Linked DNA regions of Neurospora crassa OR74A. The protein of the gene in region 1 interacts with the protein of each later gene in a biochemical or structural test. Links are inferred from orthologs where the notes say so. Each region holds a gene or a part of one and is shown on either strand. Other genes may lie near its edges.

What was found.
Region 2: the proteins of NCU08277 (region 1) and NCU02414 form a complex in vitro, tested with the Saccharomyces cerevisiae proteins (2 studies listed by BioGRID). The link is inferred for Neurospora crassa OR74A from reciprocal best matches to the Saccharomyces cerevisiae genes SUI2 and GCD6.
Region 3: the proteins of NCU08277 (region 1) and NCU00366 form a complex in vitro, tested with the Saccharomyces cerevisiae proteins (3 studies listed by BioGRID). The link is inferred for Neurospora crassa OR74A from reciprocal best matches to the Saccharomyces cerevisiae genes SUI2 and TIF5.
Region 4: the proteins of NCU08277 (region 1) and NCU04640 form a complex in vitro, tested with the Saccharomyces cerevisiae proteins (3 studies listed by BioGRID). The link is inferred for Neurospora crassa OR74A from reciprocal best matches to the Saccharomyces cerevisiae genes SUI2 and SUI3.

Annotation. Positions count from the first base shown.
Region 1 is NC_026504.1:2,568,978-2,574,056, forward strand, and holds NCU08277 (eukaryotic translation initiation factor 2 alpha subunit), read right to left. Parts: upstream 3,091-5,079; 5' UTR 2,654-3,090; coding exon 2,576-2,653; intron 2,507-2,575; coding exon 2,136-2,506; intron 2,057-2,135; coding exon 1,820-2,056; intron 1,754-1,819; coding exon 1,507-1,753; 3' UTR 1,116-1,506; downstream 1-1,115. Other genes in the region: NCU16791 (mitochondrial inner membrane protease subunit 2), read right to left, coding at 318-615, 701-957; NCU08276 (hypothetical protein), read left to right, coding at 3,902-4,224, 4,297-5,079. UniProt on the Saccharomyces cerevisiae protein: eIF-2 functions in the early steps of protein synthesis by forming a ternary complex with GTP and initiator tRNA. This complex binds to a 40S ribosomal subunit, followed by mRNA binding to form a 43S pre-initiation complex.
Region 2 is NC_026507.1:2,572,629-2,577,841, reverse strand, and holds NCU02414 (translation initiation factor eif-2b epsilon subunit), read left to right. Parts: upstream 1-1,848; 5' UTR 1,849-2,070; coding exon 2,071-2,229; intron 2,230-2,313; coding exon 2,314-4,395; 3' UTR 4,396-4,814; downstream 4,815-5,213. UniProt on the Saccharomyces cerevisiae protein: Acts as a catalytic component of the translation initiation factor 2B (eIF2B) complex, which catalyzes the exchange of GDP for GTP on eukaryotic initiation factor 2 (eIF2) and is regulated by phosphorylated eIF2.
Region 3 is NC_026503.1:3,590,980-3,595,037, reverse strand, and holds NCU00366 (eukaryotic translation initiation factor 5), read right to left. Parts: upstream 2,801-4,058; 5' UTR 1,916-2,800; coding exon 638-1,915; 3' UTR 299-637; downstream 1-298. UniProt on the Saccharomyces cerevisiae protein: Catalyzes the hydrolysis of GTP bound to the 40S ribosomal initiation complex (40S.mRNA.Met-tRNA[F].eIF-2.GTP) with the subsequent joining of a 60S ribosomal subunit resulting in the release of eIF-2 and the guanine nucleotide.
Region 4 is NC_026505.1:1,363,510-1,368,641, reverse strand, and holds NCU04640 (eukaryotic translation initiation factor 2 beta subunit), read left to right. Parts: upstream 1-1,884; 5' UTR 1,885-2,250; coding exon 2,251-2,262; exon of another isoform or gene 2,263-2,735; coding exon 2,736-2,877; intron 2,878-2,928; coding exon 2,929-3,579; intron 3,580-3,689; coding exon 3,690-3,756; intron 3,757-3,811; coding exon 3,812-3,911; 3' UTR 3,912-4,558; downstream 4,559-5,132. Other genes in the region: NCU04639 (non-classical export protein Nce102), read left to right, coding at 1-75; NCU16952 (hypothetical protein), read right to left, coding at 709-818, 919-1,159; NCU04641 (FAD dependent oxidoreductase), read left to right, coding at 5,022-5,132. UniProt on the Saccharomyces cerevisiae protein: Component of the eIF2 complex that functions in the early steps of protein synthesis by forming a ternary complex with GTP and initiator tRNA.

The DNA.
Region 1 (5,079 bases):
ATGTGGCTCGTGCGTGTTGTTAACCCGCACGTAACCATCGGACCCCTCGAATATTCTGTACATCAGTCGACCTCTCGGCACCCCCCTGAGACAATAGTAAACAAACAGAGGCCTGTGGTCCAGCACTGAAACTGCTGATGTTTCCTCCTCTTTGTTTGACTGCCGCCACCCTTGTCGTTTCCCACCCGTGGTGTTTGTTGACGATGAGCATCTTATCTCGTCTACAAACCCACAAGGACTGTGTGTGCACCCAAGAAAGCAGCATGTGTGAATATGAACCATTCACGCAAACAAGGTGTGTATCGATTCGCAATGGCTCACTCCAGCAGATGGCGTGCCTTCTTGATCCCCGGTCGCAAGTTATGCTCCCACCACTTTACCCGCCCAAATCGATCCCACGGCGACAGAATATGCGTGACACGGCCGGTGACCAAGCACGCTGATATCGGGCCGTAGTAGTTGCTGTCCTTGGTCTTGTCGCCGTCTCCCTCTACCCAGATGTGCCCTTCTGGTACCTGGACGTATTCATGCGGGTAAGGCGCCTTGGTACGGATCACGTCGCCTGCTATTCCGACCACTCTTTTTACGACCTTTCCCTTTGGGTTCAGTGGGTTTCTGGGTTACAGTTAGTCGTCAGGTTCCCAACCAATGCCCCGAATGCGGCACGCCAGATGCTGTAGGATGAGATTTTGGATCTCACCTAAAGGTCACAATCATGCCGCGCTTGAGGTTCCGGTCCGGGTACCACTTAGAGACCAGTACGATGTCCCGACGTGTTGACTCATTGTAGTGCGGGTTGAAGAAAGGATACATGGACGGCCCCTTGATTTGTGTGATCTCGGCAACCCAGCCGTTGAAGACCACCAATGGAGGGATCCATGTTGCGTAGCGAATGAGGTAGTGTGAGAACTGACCGAGGAATCCGTTCCGAATTCCTGCTCCCCATCGCGCCGCCATCGCTATCCGACCAAGCGAGTTATCGAGCTACCGAAGATGTCAATGCGATGCAACTCTTTGCTGTGAATCGCAATGCTGCTGTGAAATAGAGGGCGTATGTTCGCCTCAACGTGCTCAGTGAGCAGGGCAGTGAGCAGTACGGAGCTTGTGTGTTAACATGGAGAAGACAATAATTGCAGCCACATGCCCGGGCAGGCGGCGATAAGAAAACGATGAGATCGCTTATCAGCCCCGGTAGCTGCATATCCTTGAACGCCTAGATCTACCTAGTTACAGCAAGTGCATCCATAAAATGACTATGTATCCATATCAAGTCTTGTGTTCATCAATCCTCGTCCCTCGCTCACATTCATTAGGCATACGCTTGATGCAATCTTTTGGTTGATTCCTCTACCGCCTGAAGGACTTTTGTATCCCCTAGACGCCAGCCCTGTGTCGCAAAAACTGTATACATGCATCCCTAAACCTTTCCTCAAAATAGTGTCGAGTATCCCAATGAGCCTGCAAAGATAGCTCCGTTTAAGAATGGCTGCAAAATGAAGAGGCGCTTTAGACGGTCTCGGGGATATTGTCGTCGGACTCGCTGACACTCTCGTCGCCGCTGACCTCAGCGTTCTCACGCTCACGCTTCTCCATAAGAGCTTGGAGCTCAGCATCATCGGACTCAGTGACAGCCTTGGGCTCCATCTTCACCACAAGGTGGCCACCAGCAGCCTCGATGCTGGTCCGCATGTCTTGAATGGCCTCCTGAAGGCGGGCAATACCGGCATTCTTGTCCAAGCAGGTGTTGGTAAGGCTGTGTATAGTTATTAGCTTCCACTCTGTCTTCAACATTGCAAGACTATTTCTGGCAAAGACTTACACATAAAGGGGAGGGGACACAAGTCTGCACTTGACCTGGGTTTCCTCAGTGTTGCGAGCCTCCGCAGTGCGGAGAGCGGTCTTGATAGCATCGATACCCTCGTAGCCGAAGCAAGTGACCTCAACATCGGCACGGACCTTGGTAGGCTGGGGAGTCAAACGCTTGCTGATGTAGGTCTTGAGCTCCTCGGCAACGGCCTCGGTGGGGAACTGGATGTCATTCCAGACGTCGGGGTTGCTTCACATCCATGTCAGCATCTTGTCCAATACCGCCATTTTGTCCCACAGCTGTACGCCTATTTCCCGGAATGACGTACGTGATCGAAAGCTTGAAGGCATCAAGCGAGTGGCCGTATTTCTTGTTGAGGGGCCATCCTATTGTCTCGTAAAGCTGCTCGATGGGAACAAGAGTCTTCTCGGCAACGTGGCGCATAATCGAGTGGACGATCTTGCTCTTGTTGTAACGCTCCTCGCAACGAACGATATCCTCGGGGGACACACGACGCTTGGACAAATCGATATAACCCTTCTCCTTGTCGACACGGAGAACGACGACGACCTCGTTGCGACCGACACGGATCAACTTCTGGATGGAACGAATACGTCTTCTGGAAAGCTCAGAGAGCAGGATCATGCCGTCGATGTTGTCGTACTCGAGAAGCTTGACGTAGGCGCCCATATCGGCAATCTAATCTGGGGGTCAGCTCTGACGCATCCACATGCGCATGCGCACCACCGGGACCCCAGTGTATCGTACTTGCTTAACATTGACCATAACGAACGAGTCGATTTCAGGATACTTCTCCTCATAGAAACGGCAGTTTGAGAGCGACATGTTGGCGACTGGTGCCTTTTCCCGGGCGGGGCAAACGGTGAAATAAGTGGTGGTGTTAGTGGTGTTGAAAGGGGGAGGGTAATGTCGGCGACGAGCTTCGCGACAATGGGCGAGATGGAATTCGAGTGGATGGTCTGGAGGGGTTGATGGCCGAGAAAGAAAATTGACCGAGTTTCGCTGCAAGTGGCCACAGCTGGGAAAGGTCCTCTGGAAGTTCGAGTTCTGGTTGCGGCAGCGGGTTCTCGGAGGGTCCAGCGAGGCTCAAAGGACTCACTCAAAGTTAGCCAGATGCGTCGCAGTATTTTTCGGGTACCAACCAAAAATTACGTGCAGACAGGCTGCAAAAGTGGCGTGGGCACTTTGGGAGGGAACGAAGTAGGCTGTGGCTGGTGCGCCGGATTGAGGGGTGAATTTCACGTTCTGACCGTGACGGCAAGTGAGACGCGGCTCCATCTTTTTTTTTTGAGGTGGGGTAAGTCGGGTACCTAGGTAAGGAAGCGCACAGCAGCCCAGGTGGGAACAACGGTACGCAAAGGCAGGTACCTGCTCTCGGTTAGGTACCTCTACTTACTCCACCTGCCCCGAACTCCACTGTGCCAAGCGCCAGCTCAGTGGGCAGGAACAACGACGTCAATCGTGAACCGACAGTGGGGTTAGTCACTGATAAGCCTGGAATCTTCCTTGGACATCGTCGAGCTAGGGAGCTTCAATCACTGAACCTTGCTTGTCCACCAACGGCGACTTGGAGATTCGACTTTTGCACGGCACCCAAACGAATCCCGAGGGCCGACCAACACCCGACGACACTGGGCTCATCTAAACCCTCCGCACATGTCGTTACTTTTGGAGGAGCTCACCCGTTTCGCTTTTCTCGACGGTCTCCGTCTTGGGTGACAACACTTGGACCGATATGAAAAAGAACAGAGCGACGACACCGCAGACCAGGTAGTAAGAGTTGGGTTTCAACCACAGGCACATCGGGGAGGGGACAGCTCATAGGTCTTGATCAGGTTGCGACGGTACTTTTGGGGTTCAGACACGCTGATCGATCGAACACCAACTATTCTTCACGACCATCCCCACGACGACGGCGCGACACTACCGCGATACCTACAACCCTATAAAAAAAAGGAAACACAAAAACAAAAACATACATACACACTCTCTTCTTTCTGTCAGAACCGATCTACACGACGGGCTCGCCCGGTAACTCTTGGCTTGCTTGCTTGGTGCTTCAGGCTTCTGAAAATGGAGTCTCTTAGCAACCTCGGCAACGCCATGAGCTCGGTGCTTTCCGAGACAACGTCCACGACTGCGACGGCAATCCTCGCCGATCCTACAGAAGCCCTCTCGTCTGTCGTCGCTCTCGCCAGCGATGCGGTCTCGAAAGCTACTAGCGATGTGGTTCCCGAACACACCCCGACTTCATGGTTCACCATCATCCTCTGGCTGTTGCACCGCATCTCGAGTGTGCTATACTTTGTCATCAAGCTGACCACCATCACTACACCCACCTTTCTGTTCAACATCTTTTCGACTAGTCTGACGGTGACCATGAACGCCACTACGCTGTAAGTCATCCGCCAGCCGCATTTTGTATACATGGACTCAAGGCTGGTGGATCTAACCGTCGGTATGCTTAGTGTGCTTATTATGTTGTTCATGATGGCAGGAGTGACCTGGGTAGTCAGATATCGCTACTTAAACATGTACTCACGGCTTCCTCCTGAGCCCCAGCGCAAAGAGCCAGCTGTTGATCTGTTCCCCGAAACACAGGAGGAAGGAGTAAAGTCTGGGCTAGCTAGCTACTTTGACGAGTTTCTCAGCGCCATCAAAATCTTTGGTTATCTGGAAAGGCCGGTTTTCCATGAACTGACCCGCAGCATGCAAACGAGGAAGCTGATCGCTGGCGAAACCCTCAACCTCGAAGAAGAGCAAGGATTCTGTCTTGTGGTCGACGGTATGGTGGAGATCTTTGTTAAATCCGCCAGAGATGGTCGACGCTCAAGCAGTGGCCCTTCGTTCGAGAGCGACGATGAGGAAGGCTTTGCTCCGGGTCGCCAGCGCTACCAGCTTCTGACCGAAGTGCGGAACGGTGCCCCCATGTCATCACTGTTCTCTATCATGTCACTCTTCACTGAAGATATCCAAATGCATGACACCGACGACGACGACAGCCCCGACCCAACGCCTTCCGCTCCTGGCACCGCTATGCCTGGTTATCCTATGAACGCCAACTTCCAGCAGTCGAACGATACCCTCCCGTCCATCCCAGGTACCCCATTGTCCGACAACCACGTTATGCAACGTGGGATGGCTTCGGCTGAGTCTCTAACAATGTCTCCCCTAGCTCATGATTCTTCGAGGATACCATCACTTTCTCTCGTGAACACTCGTCCTGCTGTACCCCGCCGGCCGGTACCGAA
Region 2 (5,213 bases), on another chromosome or scaffold:
AATTATTATTATTAGTACTTCGGTTACGGTTATCCTTATTTGGATTCGAAGGTCCTACCCCGCTTTAACCCTAATAAGTCCGCAACGTTTATAATAATAATAATAATAATAACGGCGGTAGGTAAGACCCTTTATTGTTACCCTTACCTAGTGCTAATACCTCCTTCTTATTGTCGGTTAACCCCGCCGAGTTATTTTTTATATTTCAACCGTCCCTTCAATAACGAAAGTCGGTACTAACTATATACAAGGAGTATATTATTTATAAGGCGCTTCGGACGTATACTAAGATGGATTATAAAGAGATTGCTGCCGCCCTCAATTTTACTATTAAATAAGTTCAATATACTTATCTCGTTAAGGCTATCCCTTATTACAATTCGGGGGGTAGACCCCTTACCATTCCGCCGGCCGTTGTTAATATTCTCTTTTAGTATATAAATACCCCTATAAAATCGAAAAGATTCTTATTGTAGGTAAAATTGGGGAAGTATATATTTAAATTTAATAGCTACGGTTGCGAGGCTATTTAAGCTGCAATAGAGATTTAGGGTGTCCGTTGCATTGAATAACTAATTTATCTTCCTCTAAGCGATAAGACCTGTCGTTTCCACTTTAAATTTGCTTTATGGTACGCCGGCTTTACCCTATTGGAATAGGAGATTTGGATTTAGTTTAATGAGACGTAGGTAAATAGCGTTACTTAAAGCTGTTATTTCGTTACCCTTTTTAAGGATGAGAAGGTTAGCGACTTCGTTAAAATTAAAATTAGAGTTCGGGGATGGATATTTTAGATTTACTTTATAGGTAAAAAAAAGGGTACATTCCTCTTTTGGAATTATAAGGATTGGGGTACGATTACTAGCGATATTTACTAGAAGTATGTCTTCCCTTTTCTGCGGTAATTTTGGTAAGAGAATTCGTTTTTTGTCGTTATGTAAGACAATGCACTAGCTTATAGTTCGAAGTTAACGAAGGTATTTATAAAGGATGCTTTTGTTGGCGCTACTATTGTCGATTGGCCGCCCTACTCCCTTGATTTTAATTCTATTGAGAACGTTTGGGCCTTTATGAAGAGATGGATTGAGTGTGAATACCTAATTAGACTGATTGGGAATAGCTTTAAATTGGCTATCGAGAAGGCTTGGGAGGTTGTATTAGAGGACTACTTACTTTGCTTAGTATATTTAATGCCTAGAAGGCTTGAGGCGGTTATTAAGGCAAAAGGCGGGTATACCGACTATTGATTTGGCTGAGGTTACGGTTACAATTGTGGTATTTGAGAATCCCTGGTTTTAGTATGTGAAATTGATTGATTTACGGTAGCTTTGTTGTCCCTGTTCTTCCTGTGCGGGCCTCGTATGCGTAATTTGATTGGATTTATCCCTAGTCGCCTCCCTTGTCAAAACCCCTGTATGTACCGAGCTAACGAACTTTCCAGGGCTCAAGTGTACTATTCACACTACTTAGTACCTTCCCTTTCATACATGTTGCCGTTTTTGTGCGGCCAAGGGAGATGCTAAGCACTATCGTGTTGTAGTGTACACGACTAGGACACGAAGTACTGTTCAGTGCCGGTGCTATGATGTGCTTGATGCGGCTACTTCAGTTGTCATGATCGATATGATGGGAGCCCAAATGCGGCTAGTGATTTCCAACGCCACAATTTTCCACTGATGAAAGTTACCACCTGTAAGGCTCAGTGCAGTTGGTACGCGGTACGGTAAACTTAAGGCCCCGATGGTACGTACAAGCCACAGGTGATAGCCCTGCGCCCCACCTCCAAGCATGCAGTACCTTACGGAAAACACAATGTGAAAGTTTGGACAAATTGGGTCACTGCGTTGACTCATCATTGCAAGGTTTTGGTACCGCACGGCGGCCGAGGCAGGCGCATCATCAACCCCAGCTTTGAAGTTCAAACGCGCCGTTCTTGACATTGTGCAGCCCCACCTTTTTCCTTCTACCACAGTCTTCCCCGCGCTTCCCGATCCGCGGCCACTTACTCAACCAGGCCCTCGTCGACCCATTCCTGTAGAGTTCGAGCTGATAAATAGACTTCAGTTGGCAATGTCGGGCAAGCAAGTCAGCAAGGGCGGGGCTGCCAATAAGTCCAAAAAGCCCGCCAAGGGCGGCGCCGAGGAGAAGAGAGAAGATGCTCTCCAGGCCGTCATCCTCGCCGATTCTTTCCAAGATCGCTTTCAGCCTTTCGCGCTTGAAAAGCCCAGGGTAAATGCCTTCATGCTTCGTGCTAAATGCTTCGTGTCCCTTGTCCCTGGTGACCTCTGAGTACTGACGGCCTTCTCCTGACAGTGTCTCCTTCCGTTGGTCAACGTGCCCGTTATCGAATACACGCTCGAGTATCTAGCCTCCAACGGCGTCCAGGAGGTCTTCATCTACTGCGGCGCCCACTCCGAAGACGTCGAAACCTACATCCACGACTCTGACCGATGGAGCCCTGAAAGCAATCTCTGCCCCTTCTCTTCTGTCGACTTCATCCGCGTGTCCGACGCAAGCTCCATCGGTGACTTTTTGCGAGATCTTGACAAGCGCAGTCTTATCTCGGGTGACTTCATTCTGATTCATGGCGATGTTGTCGCAAACATCCCCCTCGATGGTATTCTGGCTAGGCACCGCGCAAGGAGAGAGGCCAACAGAGACGCCTGCATGACCATCGTCTTGCGCTCAACAGGAGACAGCCCTCACCGGACTGCAAAGGCCCGGGGCATTACTCCTGTCTTTGTTGTCGACCCCACCAACGGCCGTTGTCTGCAATATGAAGAGATGCACCCACTTCAGAAGGACAAGTATGTCAAGTTGGACGAGTCGGTATTCGAGTATGCTGAGTTCGACTTACGCACCGATCTGATCGATTGTGGCATCGATATTTGCACGCCAGATGTTTTGGCCTTGTGGTCCGAGAGCTTCGACTACGAGCTTCCCCGCAAGAACTTCCTTCACGGCGTACTGAAAGACTGGGAGCTCAACGGCAAGATCATCAGCGCCGAGATTCTTGAGGAAGGCTACGGGGCTCGCGCCAGCAACCTTCAGATGTATGATTGCATCAGCAAGGATATCCTCCACCGCTGGGCGCTACCGTATGTCCCCGATAGCAACCTTCTTCACGGACAAACTTACAAGTACAAACGGGGTCTGTGGTTAGAGGATGGCGCACACATCGCAAAAAACAGCACAGTAACCAAATCCGTACTAGGGAAGACCGCCTATGTCGACACCGGCAGCACAATCTCGAGCAGTATCATCGGAAGGAGGTGCCAGATCGGAAAGAACGTGAGGATAGAGAACAGCTATATCTGGGATGACGCGGTCATCGAAGACGGTGCTACTGTTCTGCATTCCATTGTAGCCAACGATGCAGTCATTGGTAAGCACAGCTACATTCCTCAAGGCTCTCTCATCTCCTACGGTGTGCGGATCAGCGCCGGAACACAACTCTCATCCAAACCCCTACCGAGAATATCCCTCTTTACCAGTGAAAGAGAGCCGGTCAAGACCGACATCAAACTGGTCGGAAACGATGGCAAGGGAGCCCAATATAAAGAGCCAGAAGACGACGAGGATAGTGACTCCGAGGATGAAGGCGATGCGGACCCCGCAGTTCTCCAAAGCTCTCTCATTTACTCTTTGGCTGGCCTCAACATTTCAAGCGAGTCCATCTCCACATTAGCGACCCATGACTCCGATGATGACCTCTCGGATGACGAGTACGAGCAAGGCCTCCAAGCCAAGACCAACCGGGAGCGCCTATCCTCCTTCGCGTCTGACGATTCCGCTGCCGCCGTCATGAAGCTCGACCAGTTTCATGGTGACGCTGTTCACGGACTTGTAGATGCCCTCCGTGCTGACGACAACGAGGATTTCGACTCTGCGAAGCTGGAGTTCATGGGTTTGAGACTGGCCAATAATGCTTCGGACAGCATGATGCGCAAGGCCATTGCCGTAGCCTTTGCCACTCGCGCCGCCGAGCTCATGAGTCCCGAAAACGGCGGTCTTGAGCCTACCAAGGCCGCTGGCCGGGCTCTTACGTCCAAGAAGGGTGCCGTCAAGTTCATTACAGAGGTTGGCGTCGGCGGAAACAAGGTCGATCTCCACGCTGAGTTTGCCCTCGCGTTGCAGAAAGCTTTGGCAGCCATTAAGGGGCTTGATTCTGCGCGCGCAGGAACGCTACTTGCCGCCATGCTGCAGCAGCTTTATAACTTGGACGTTCTCGAGGAGGAAGGTATTCTCGCCTGGTGGGCGGATGCCAGGGCTGCAGAGAATGATACACTCTCCAAGATCAAGGAGAGGAGTCGTGTGCTGGTCGAATGGCTGGAGAATGCAGATGAGGAGGATAGCAACGAAGACAGTGATGAAGAGGATGAGGATAGTGACTAGATGGGTTATCAATGGAAGTGCATGCTCAAGAGGGATGGATTATTTGGAAGAAGGAAGCAAGGGTGGAAGAACGAAAAGGGGGAGGTGTAGATGAACTTATACCCGCAGCACCTGCGACCTCGAGATATTGCTTGTGTTCTCTTTTTGGGAAGGGGAGAATGGATGGACGGGAAAATGAAGGAAAATTTGACATCCGCATACTCCTCGCTCTCAACACATCTTCCTTTGTATGAGCACGAATGCCTGTGATAATTTTATGAACTACACTGAGCAGCCTTACTAAAATGATGGCCTGAGTGCTCTCAGCATACAGGTTGTATAGGTGAGCGTCGTCAAGAATACTAGGTCGCAACAGTCAGAACCACCCATGCATGCTCTTTGCTTTCCAACTTTGGTCCTTGCTTCACACTCAACTTGCTATCTCATCATACGTACATCTTGGGTCAAAAAGTTTGGTGATAATGTGCACAATTATCTTACTGCCCAAACTCATCACCGAAGGACATCATCCTCACCATGAAGAATGCACTTATCAATCCGAAGGGCAAGTCTAACCATAGATTCATCCAAGCTTGTTGGCGGCATGAGACTTGCTGGGAATAGAAACGTCAAAAGGCCAGGAGTCTTCATGGACAGCCGCATTGATGTTGCCCACATTGTTACACCGTAGACCGTCCTCGTTTCACAGCGCAGTGGCTTAGTTCCCGTCGGATGGCTCCATCTGTCACTTGTCCTTTTAAGTGCTGAGTCATGGTCAAAGCAAAGGCGGATGGGAAGTTGGGTAAGGTGTAGTAGATTAACGGTTAGAAGATGGATAT
Region 3 (4,058 bases), on another chromosome or scaffold:
TTAAACGTGATGTACTACCGTAGTGGTGCCATCTTAACAGTAAAGTGAGCACTCGTCCATGACACTCACGAACATCAAGTCGATAACACATAATGCTGAGGAGATTATTGGGACCATAAGAGAGTAGCTAACAAGCAAGTGGAACCCGATGTGCTGAAGTAGGTAGACCTCGATGGGGCACTGTTTCGTCGACAACGACATGAAGGCGCCTACACCCGGAACCGACTGTCTCGGGCACTTTGATCTTGATGATATCTCGTAGCCGCTTCGGGAAAGGACTACAACGGCTCGGAGGATAGAGAGATTCAGGCATTCATTATGTTTCTGGCATCGCTTGAGCAGTATACTGGAATATGTAGAGATATAAGTGACGTGTCAATTCAACGACTAACTAGATGACGTCCATGAAAGCCCCGATAACGATACACAGACACAGGAAAAGACATCCCTTGAGTGCGAACCATGGGACAAACATGAACCAAGACCTGAGAGTGAGTGGAGAAAACTGATCGCAACCCTTTCACGCATTTATCCATCTGCTTCTGGGTTTTGCATCCTCAAAACAACACAAAAGAGCAAGCTAGACTAGGCATCAAGCGGCAACGGAAGTAGTATCCTCAGTGGCGAGGGACATGATTTACTCATCGTCCTCCTCCTCAGATTCCTCCTCCTCAGACTCGGCCTCGGCGAGCCAGGTGAGGAAGGGCTCAGCAGCCTTGCGGATCTTCTTGGAAGTAGAGCCATCGACGTACTTCTTGGAAGCCTTGCTACCCCACTTGGTGATGACCTCCTCGGAGCAGAGGTCGTGGTGGTAGTAGAGCTGGAGAATCTTGACAATCTTGTCATAAGACTCCTTGCCGAGGTCGGCAAGGAGACGCTCGGTACCGCCAAGGAGGGCCTTCTCGTGACGCTCGGAGGTAACGAGTCTCTTGAGCATAGGAGCACGCTTGGGGATCTGAGCAACAATGTTCTCGTCAAAAAGACACTGAACAAGAACCTGGACGGTGCGGTGCTTGGCATCAATGCCGAGCTCCTTGGCCTTGAGGTAGATCTCGACATCGTCGACATTGTTAATGCCACCCTTGGCCTTGGCTTCATCCTCGATCCAAGTGCCGAGCTGGTCGTAGACGGTGTTTCCACCCTCCTCCTCCTCGTCTTCTTCACCATTCAGGACGAGCTTCTGCTTGAATTCGCCAGGAAGGTTCTGCTGACGGGCACGGACGGCCTCCTCGCTCATGTCGACAGCCCACTCCTCCTCCTTGGGAGCCTCTCTCTTGCCCAACTGCAAGCTCTGAGCCTCAGACTTGATCTTGCGAGTGAGCTCATCATCGTCGCTAGCATATTCAATGTTCTTATCCTCGATGGCAGGAGAGGCCTGGTCGGAACCGTTCTCGTCACCGGAACCTTCCTTATCGCCGCCGTTCTGGCGAGCCTTGCGGGCCGCCTTGCGCTCGGCCTTGTCCTTCTTGCTCTTCTTGGGGACGTTCTTGAGGATGAAGGAGGTCAGCTTGAGCTGGGGCTCAACCTTGCTGCGCTGGCCACAGGCCTTGCAGTCGAGAGTGATCTTCTCGTCCTTGATCTGGACAACCGTCTCGGGGTTCTTGCACTTCTTGCAGAGGACAAACTTGGCAATGAAGCCATCGAGAAGATCCTGGAGCTTGGCGGCCTCGTGGGAGCCGTTGATGATCCAGCGGTCATCAGGAGGATCAATGTTGGTTTGAGCACCAAGCTCGAAACCAAAGTACTTGATCAAATAGCCACCGGGACGAGCCAGGGACTGGGCAACGCTGCTGAGGTTGACAACGACGGTCTTGATACCGTTACCCTTGCCTTCAATCTTGGTCTGGATACGCTCCATCTTGTAGCGGTAGAAGGGGTCGGGGTTGTCCCGACGAACGTTGATAAGAGCACCCATTTTGGCGGTATTGACGGCGAAACAGGATGATGTTTGTAGTATTGTTTTGTTGGAGTTTGTTGGGAGTCTGGTAGACGATACCTAACGAGGGCAGACTAGTAGACTGGTCGACGATGTCGTGGAAAGCGAGGCTTCTTGTTGCACGGAGAGCGTGTGAGGAAGATCGAGAGGCGAGACGAGCCAAAGGGGTCAGTTATTGACGAGTACTTTGAGTTGACATAGGGTAGACCGTGTGGTTAACGAAGTCGAAGGTAGGCATTAACGCTGGCAGACGACCGTGGGAATGGCGATTCAACCGTCGGTACTTTGTTGGAAGCTACAGGGTTTCCGCGATATGCGAAAATGCAGCTTGACGGGGGGAGAGTGTCGGAAGACGGCGTGCTGGTCGTGCTGATACATAAACAACGCTGTGTCGCGCAAAATGCTTATGTTGGGTCTGGTGGTGGTTGTTGTTCTGAACCTGGGCGGTGCTGGAACAGAAAGCTGGGCGGGAGAGGATGGCTTTTGAGGCAAGCGAAATTTTTTTTCTCCCTCTGTGACGAGCGGGCTTCCTTTTCTTGACGGAGCGGAGCGGATGGAGTCGAGTGACTTTGTGTGGGTTTCTGCTGGGATAGTGGATTCACTTCACTTCCGTGGTGCGGCACCCGAAATCCGGGGGAGGTGGAGTTGATGGACAGATGGACAGAGAGCCCGGTCGCCTTTGTGGTCTTGGATAGATTCAAGGACGATGTCGCTGCTGATGGCGGTTGATGGGTAGAATGAAGTTGAGGTTAGTTTGGCAAAAAAGAGGCAGCAAGCAAGAGTTTTTAAAAAAGGACGAGAAAGCAAGTGGATGTGGATCGGTGCTGCAGAATGGAGCCAAACCGGGCACGGGCAACAAGGCGGGCAGTCACTGGACGAGCAAGCAAGAGGATTTGTCGGCCAAAGGATTTTCGTGGTGCCCTGGCTAGCCCCCCCATGTACTGTACACTACCTAGTGTAGTACCTGTGGCTCATGGCAGAGCAAGTCTAGGGTACTTCTTGTTTGGCAGGTAATCACCACCACCAGCGGGCTATGGGCAAAGTACCCGAGACATGTGTCCGTTCTCCAAGCCAGGCAACACCAGTTGCCGTGCAGGTACTGCGTGCAGTTCGTTCTTTCACACACTTCGTTTCGACACCGACAATGGAAGAAGGTCCCGTCGCGTTCCATTCCTACCTGCTTACCATCTCCCCGCCCACTGCAACGGGCAGCACAGCAACAGGACGGACGCGCAATGGCGTATGTTCCGAATGGCAAGTTAGGGAACTTGAAAGATTTTGATGCCATTTTGCCCCTCATCCACTCGGCGTTTCCACGCCTCTGCTTTCGATGCTCGAGTTCCGGCCCAAGGAATGCCTCTTGCAACAAGCTGACTCGCCGGACGGTGGCCAGAAGGCACCTGGACACAGAAGGCCGGATGAAAAGGCGGGACTCTTTGATGACCAGCCGGTATACACTAGAAGATCCACGCAGATGGGGGCGTTCCCTGTGTCTGTGCAATGTCCATCCATCCACACCAGAGACCAGTTCCACTTTGGTTCATTGTACTTTCAGTAACCGAGCCAGGCGGAGGAGGCCTTTGTAGTTGTCGGTCAAGTGAAAGTGACGGTCTCCCTCTCCGCCGTGTGCCTGGGTGTCTCACAACAATTACAGCTTGTCTGGGAAAGCCAATTTCTCTCCTTGGGAAACTTCGGAGTTACGGGGATGTGAAAAATGGGCGGCATTCGGGAAGAATCCGAAACACACGCGATATGTTTTGTCAAGGGAAGGCGGCAATATCAATCAACGCTTAACCAAGTCAACTACCTCTAGGTATGTACACTAGACTCATGCGACAAGCTAGTGTAGAACCAGCCCGCACCAATATCTAGGTAGATCTGTATCCGGCAAAGCGCCCCCCCAAACAGGCAATTACTATGCACCTAAGTCGTTAGGTATTGTGTACGGTTTCTTTCAGGGACGGCATCTCTCACCTCTGCGTCTCTCATTCTCAAGCCAGGGGCATCTGTTTGGCTGCAGGTATCATGTATACTTTCATAGCTCGCAAACAAACAACTTGTCTAAATCTCTTGATGACCTTTCGTGGCCATTTGGCAAGACACCAAGACTGTCAAACATCTA
Region 4 (5,132 bases), on another chromosome or scaffold:
TTGGCGATTATGAGCTGGAGGAGGACGGGCGGAAGCGTGAGGAGCGGGCCGACCATGTCACAGGTGGTCGTCTAAGGCGGTCGGGGAGATGGAGTGGTGGTGGTGGTTGGAAACCTTGAGAAAGTGCTCGGGAAGAGTGTTGAAGAAAGCTGGAGAGCCTGGATAGTTTTGGTGGTATGCTTGGATGATGGTATGAGTAGGGCTATGGCAGCAAGGATGAGTTATGGTGATGGATAGCTATTCGCTTCATCATGGGTGTGCGGTGTCGCAACCCTCGACAATTATACCCAGATCAGTGTAATTACGTAGTGATGGCTTGGGTTAATATGGCGAACGAGGAAAGGAAGATCAGAACCTGCATGTTATAATAGTATCAGTCGAACCTAAAGTCAGCAATAGTAATGGGTATAATTGGCATTGTCTGATGATCAGATGTATCTGCAGAGCTTCAACGCTTGCTTCCACAAGTATAACGACAGTCCACATGCATTCTACACATGTCTGTAATTCTTCACCACCAATGCAACGCAAACTGTGCAAGAACGAAACATACCCCTTTATGCTAGTGTTCCCATACCGTAACGCCAAAAGAGCACTGTGTCCACCCCTGGTATCCCAGATTATACCGAAAAAATAGGGTATCGAGAATTGTGCTGCCGTCGCCTTTGACTCGAGTACCTCATCACCACGGTCGCCTGTCTGCCTCCCTCATACTGATACTGGCGTAGCAGCTCCTATCCAACCGGCAATGTTGAATAGCGTCTTGTTATACCATTGGACCTTGACCCCGTGCGCCCACTCCATGTACCGTCCCCAACCTGCCGGGCCATGTTAGCAACTGACTTTCCGCATCGTCGTTATTGTCTCCTCCCACAGCGCAAGCTGTCTTTCCCAAGATCTGGTTTTGGTTTGTCTTACTCCAATAAGCAAACTTGCGCCCCAAAAACTTGCCCGCGAACGGTATTAGCACCAAGTTCAAGAGAAGCTGCAGCTGCTCGAGACTCTGTTCCCATTCCTTTTGTGCGTCTGATTCGTCGTCGTACTCGGAGTCGTCCGAGCCTAGGATACTGCTGGAGATGGACGGGAGGGAGTCGACATCGTCGTTGTCGGTTGACGGGGAGTGGTCGTGGAGGACGTAGGAATCGGAGGGGGTGGACATGGTTTTGGATGTCCCGAATGCGCAATTTGTCTGTCTGAGGGTATCGCGTCTCTGGCCGGGAGTAGGTAGCTATCGTCAGTGTGGTTTGGATGAGGCGAGCAAGTGGTCGGCGCCGGCGCACGGTCGGTTGTCGCGGTGAAGATGGTACTGTAAGTAGCTATCGTAGCTCGGGCAAATTGCGATAGTTCGGGATGGAGACACTGTACGAATCGGCGTAACGCCTGACGTGTAGGATATTGTAGAAATCGCGTGGGACGAACTTGATTGCTGCTGGGAGATTCGTTGTCGGTTACGAACACAGCGATACACGGAGATGGATACCTCTACGGACTCGGCGCGCCTTCCAAGGTTCGTGATGGAGCTGGTTGTTGTCGGTGACCGATGACGGGCCACGGCACCAACTGCTGCAGCAGTGCAGCTATGCGATGCTGGAATGGACACCACTCACCTATCGCTGCCGCCAAGCACTGCACCGGACTGCAAGTGCCAGTGCCAACCCAACCGTGTCGGACTGTGCGGCCGTGGCTCGAGCGGGTTGAAGGCACCGTGCTGCAGGGAGGAGGGCTGCATGGCCTGGAAAATGGAGAAGCGGAGGCGATTTGTAGTTGCAAGTGGCGGGCAGCTGTCTGAGCTCTTCCCACCCCACTTGTCAGGTGATTGAGAAGACTGACTCACAGTTTCGCTTCAATCAACGTCATGAGGTGAACACAGCTGAGGCGTGGTGCCGGTGCCCCATCCAGAGCCGTGTGTACAGAAAGAACTCCGCTCAGTCTCCAGCCCAACGACAGAACTAAACGACAGTAGTAGTAGGTAACCAGACCAGGACCCAAGCGGCATCCAACTACCTAGGTCCCCGCAAAGAACAATTCCAGGTCCGAAACTGAAAGAAAGCTGAGATCAGTCTGCCTGCATCGATACCTCTCCCGACCCCAAAGTCTACCTAATCTCATCCATCGACAAAATCCACTCTCTGCGACCAACAAAGAGTCCACCGGAAGAGACATCGATTACAAAGAAAAAGACGGACAATCACACACCTACAGACAGACAGACAGACACCACCACACTCTCAAACACACCAGTGGCCCAGCATGGATTCTGAAGTAAGTACCTGGGATGGATCTCCTTGCTTCAGTACACACTCACTACCTCTACGCCCACACAACACACCCTCCGTCCTCCCCGACCCTACCACCACGCTAGAGGCAGACACCTCGAGCCCTGGGGGGAGCCACGCTTCTCGCCTAGTCAAAAATACTAAGGAAATAAAAAGTCCCATTCACCACACTGCACACCCCTCACTGTACTTTGCTACCTACGCAGTGCAATTATACCTATCCCCGGCCCCAGCCCTCAAGTCCCCTGACGTGTACTGCCCCTCCAAGGCGCCAACCCTCTCCCTCCACCCCCAGCCCAAAATCCACCATAAAGTTCTGGCACTCTGCAGCGCGAAAACGCCGCCAATCATCCCAAAAAATTCCGAGCTTTCCTATCCACACTCGACGGCGAAATCCTTGACCGCTATCGCGACTCCCACGACAAGCGCCTTATCCACTCCGATATACTAACCCTTTAGGCGCCCTCTATCAAAAGACGCCCCTCGCGCAAGTCTGTCACCTTTACCGACGAGAAGCTAGTTGTCAACCCCGACGGTTCTGTCACCATGGACGCCTCTCCCGCCGACGAAATCAAGGAGACTGCCCAGTCCCACTCTGCTCGTACGCCGCCCCTCCACGCCGCTCTCGGGGCCTTTACTGATGCCCCCCAAGCCACCGAGCCCCAGGATGCTGCTGCTGCTGCCGCCCCCGCCGCCGATGATGGCCTCGACCTTTCGCTCATGAAGAAGAAGAAGAAGAAGGTCAAGAAGGAGGACGATGCCGACGCCGCTGCTGATGAGGCCGCCCCTGCCGAGGGTGACGGTGCTATCGACCTCACCATGAAGAAAAAGAAGAAGAAGAAGGTCGTCAAGGAGGATGATGAGTTCGCCAAGAAGCTGGAGGCTCTCAACATTGAGGGCAAGGAGGGCGAGGAGGCCGCCCCCCAGGAGGACGAGCAGGAGGGCGATATGGACCAGGGCACCGGCATTTGGGCCCACGACGAGACCAAGCCCATCAGCTACAACGCTCTTCTGTCCCGTTTCTTCGCCCTTCTCTCGCAAAAGAACCCCGACCACGCCTCTACCGGTACACGGTCGTACAAGATCCCGCCCCCGCAGTGTCTCCGTGAAGGCAACAAGAAGACCATCTTCGCCAACCTGCCCGAGATTTGCAAGCGCATGAAGAGAGCCGACGAGCACGTTACTTCTTACCTTTTCGCCGAATTGGGTACCAGCGGTTCCGTCGACGGCAGCAGGCGTCTGGTCATCAAGGGTCGTTTCCAGCAGAAGCAGATCGAGAACGTTCTGCGTACCTACATTATCGGTATGTCTATTTGATCCTGTCGTCGTTTGGACGTTTTGCGCCCAAGTAGACAATGTCACCACCAGCACCCAACGTTTTGCTCTGACTACAAATGCTAACATGCTCAACAGAGTACGTTACCTGCAAGACGTGCCGTTCCCCCAACACCGAGCTCTCCAAGGGCGAGAACCGTCTTTAGTAAGTTGGCCTCTGTTTACGACGACCATAGCCCCAAAATGCTGACATGTCACAGTTTCATTACCTGCAACTCTTGCGGTTCTAGGCGGTCTGTCCAGGCCATTAAGACCGGTTTCTCTGCCCAGGTCGGCAAGAGAAAGAAGATGCAGGGTTAAGCGGTTTTTGTTTTCTTGTTTCGAGGCCCTTGCAGTTTGCTTTTCAATGTTTTCACGCTTCAAGGACGGAGTTAAGACGGCATTGTATATGGCTGGTTGGGCACGGGTCTTTTACGAAGTAGCACGGCCCCTCTGAACGGCAATCTCTCATCTCCAGTACACGAGAGAGAGGATGGAAGAGAGAGTCTGTGCTACAAAATCAGGTGAATTCCTTACGCGGTAGGGTACGGGTTAATATGACGATACTTGATGAAGAATTGGTACACAAAAAGTTCTGGTTTTTGATGATGGTGGCACACTTATCCTTACTTTGCATAGGGAGTCTGATAAAGAGGAGGGCTTTCTTCTTTTCCTGAGCTTGTCTGATTTATATGGATGAGGGCTGCGAGGTTGTATCTAGACTGATGTGGGATTCAGAGGTTCTCAGGTCATTCATGACCATGGTCAGCAAGCTAGACTGGGAGAGCAAGGAAGAGGCTGACTGAGCGCAGGATTACGAAGCGATGGATTTTGAGATCTTGCGAACAGGAATTATTCTCTGTTCTTTGCAGTATGTATAGCCATTCAGTCTACCTTTATAAACTACATTATGTTATCGAAACTCAAAGTGGCAGTTGAGTAAAATGATAAACCTTGATACTCCGCGATTGGTGAGAAAAAGCGGCCGCTTAGGTTCGAAATCTCACCTTGACGCGTATACATTGCGTATACACTACGTTCCGATGTTTTGGCGATCGATCCATGATATGCCGAGCACATGCATGATAGTTAGCTTCGGGAGAATCTTTCCCCTCCACATTTTGCATCAACAAACCCATATAAGACGATGGGCCGCAGGCAACAACTCAACGGTTCAACCTCGTCTGTCTGTTCGATAGATTAGTCAACACTTTCCAAGTCAACGCGTAACGTGACTCATCACTACTTTACCTGCTCGATTCCACTCATCACTCAAGTCTTCCCCTTCATCATCACAACCACCAGGTACAAGCCAAAATGACCATCCGCTAAACCGGCCCCAGAGGAGTCGACCAGCACATCCCCCACCCTTCTTCTCACCACCACAGCGACCTCGGCCGAGCCGCCCAACCGACCCAACAGGAAACGAACATGAACACAACCAGCAGCAGCAACATCAACCCTGGTCCCTCCTCTTCAGGCCAGGCCGGACTCCCCTCCGCCAATCCCAGCGCCTCCTACTGGCTGCAACCAAGCGATATT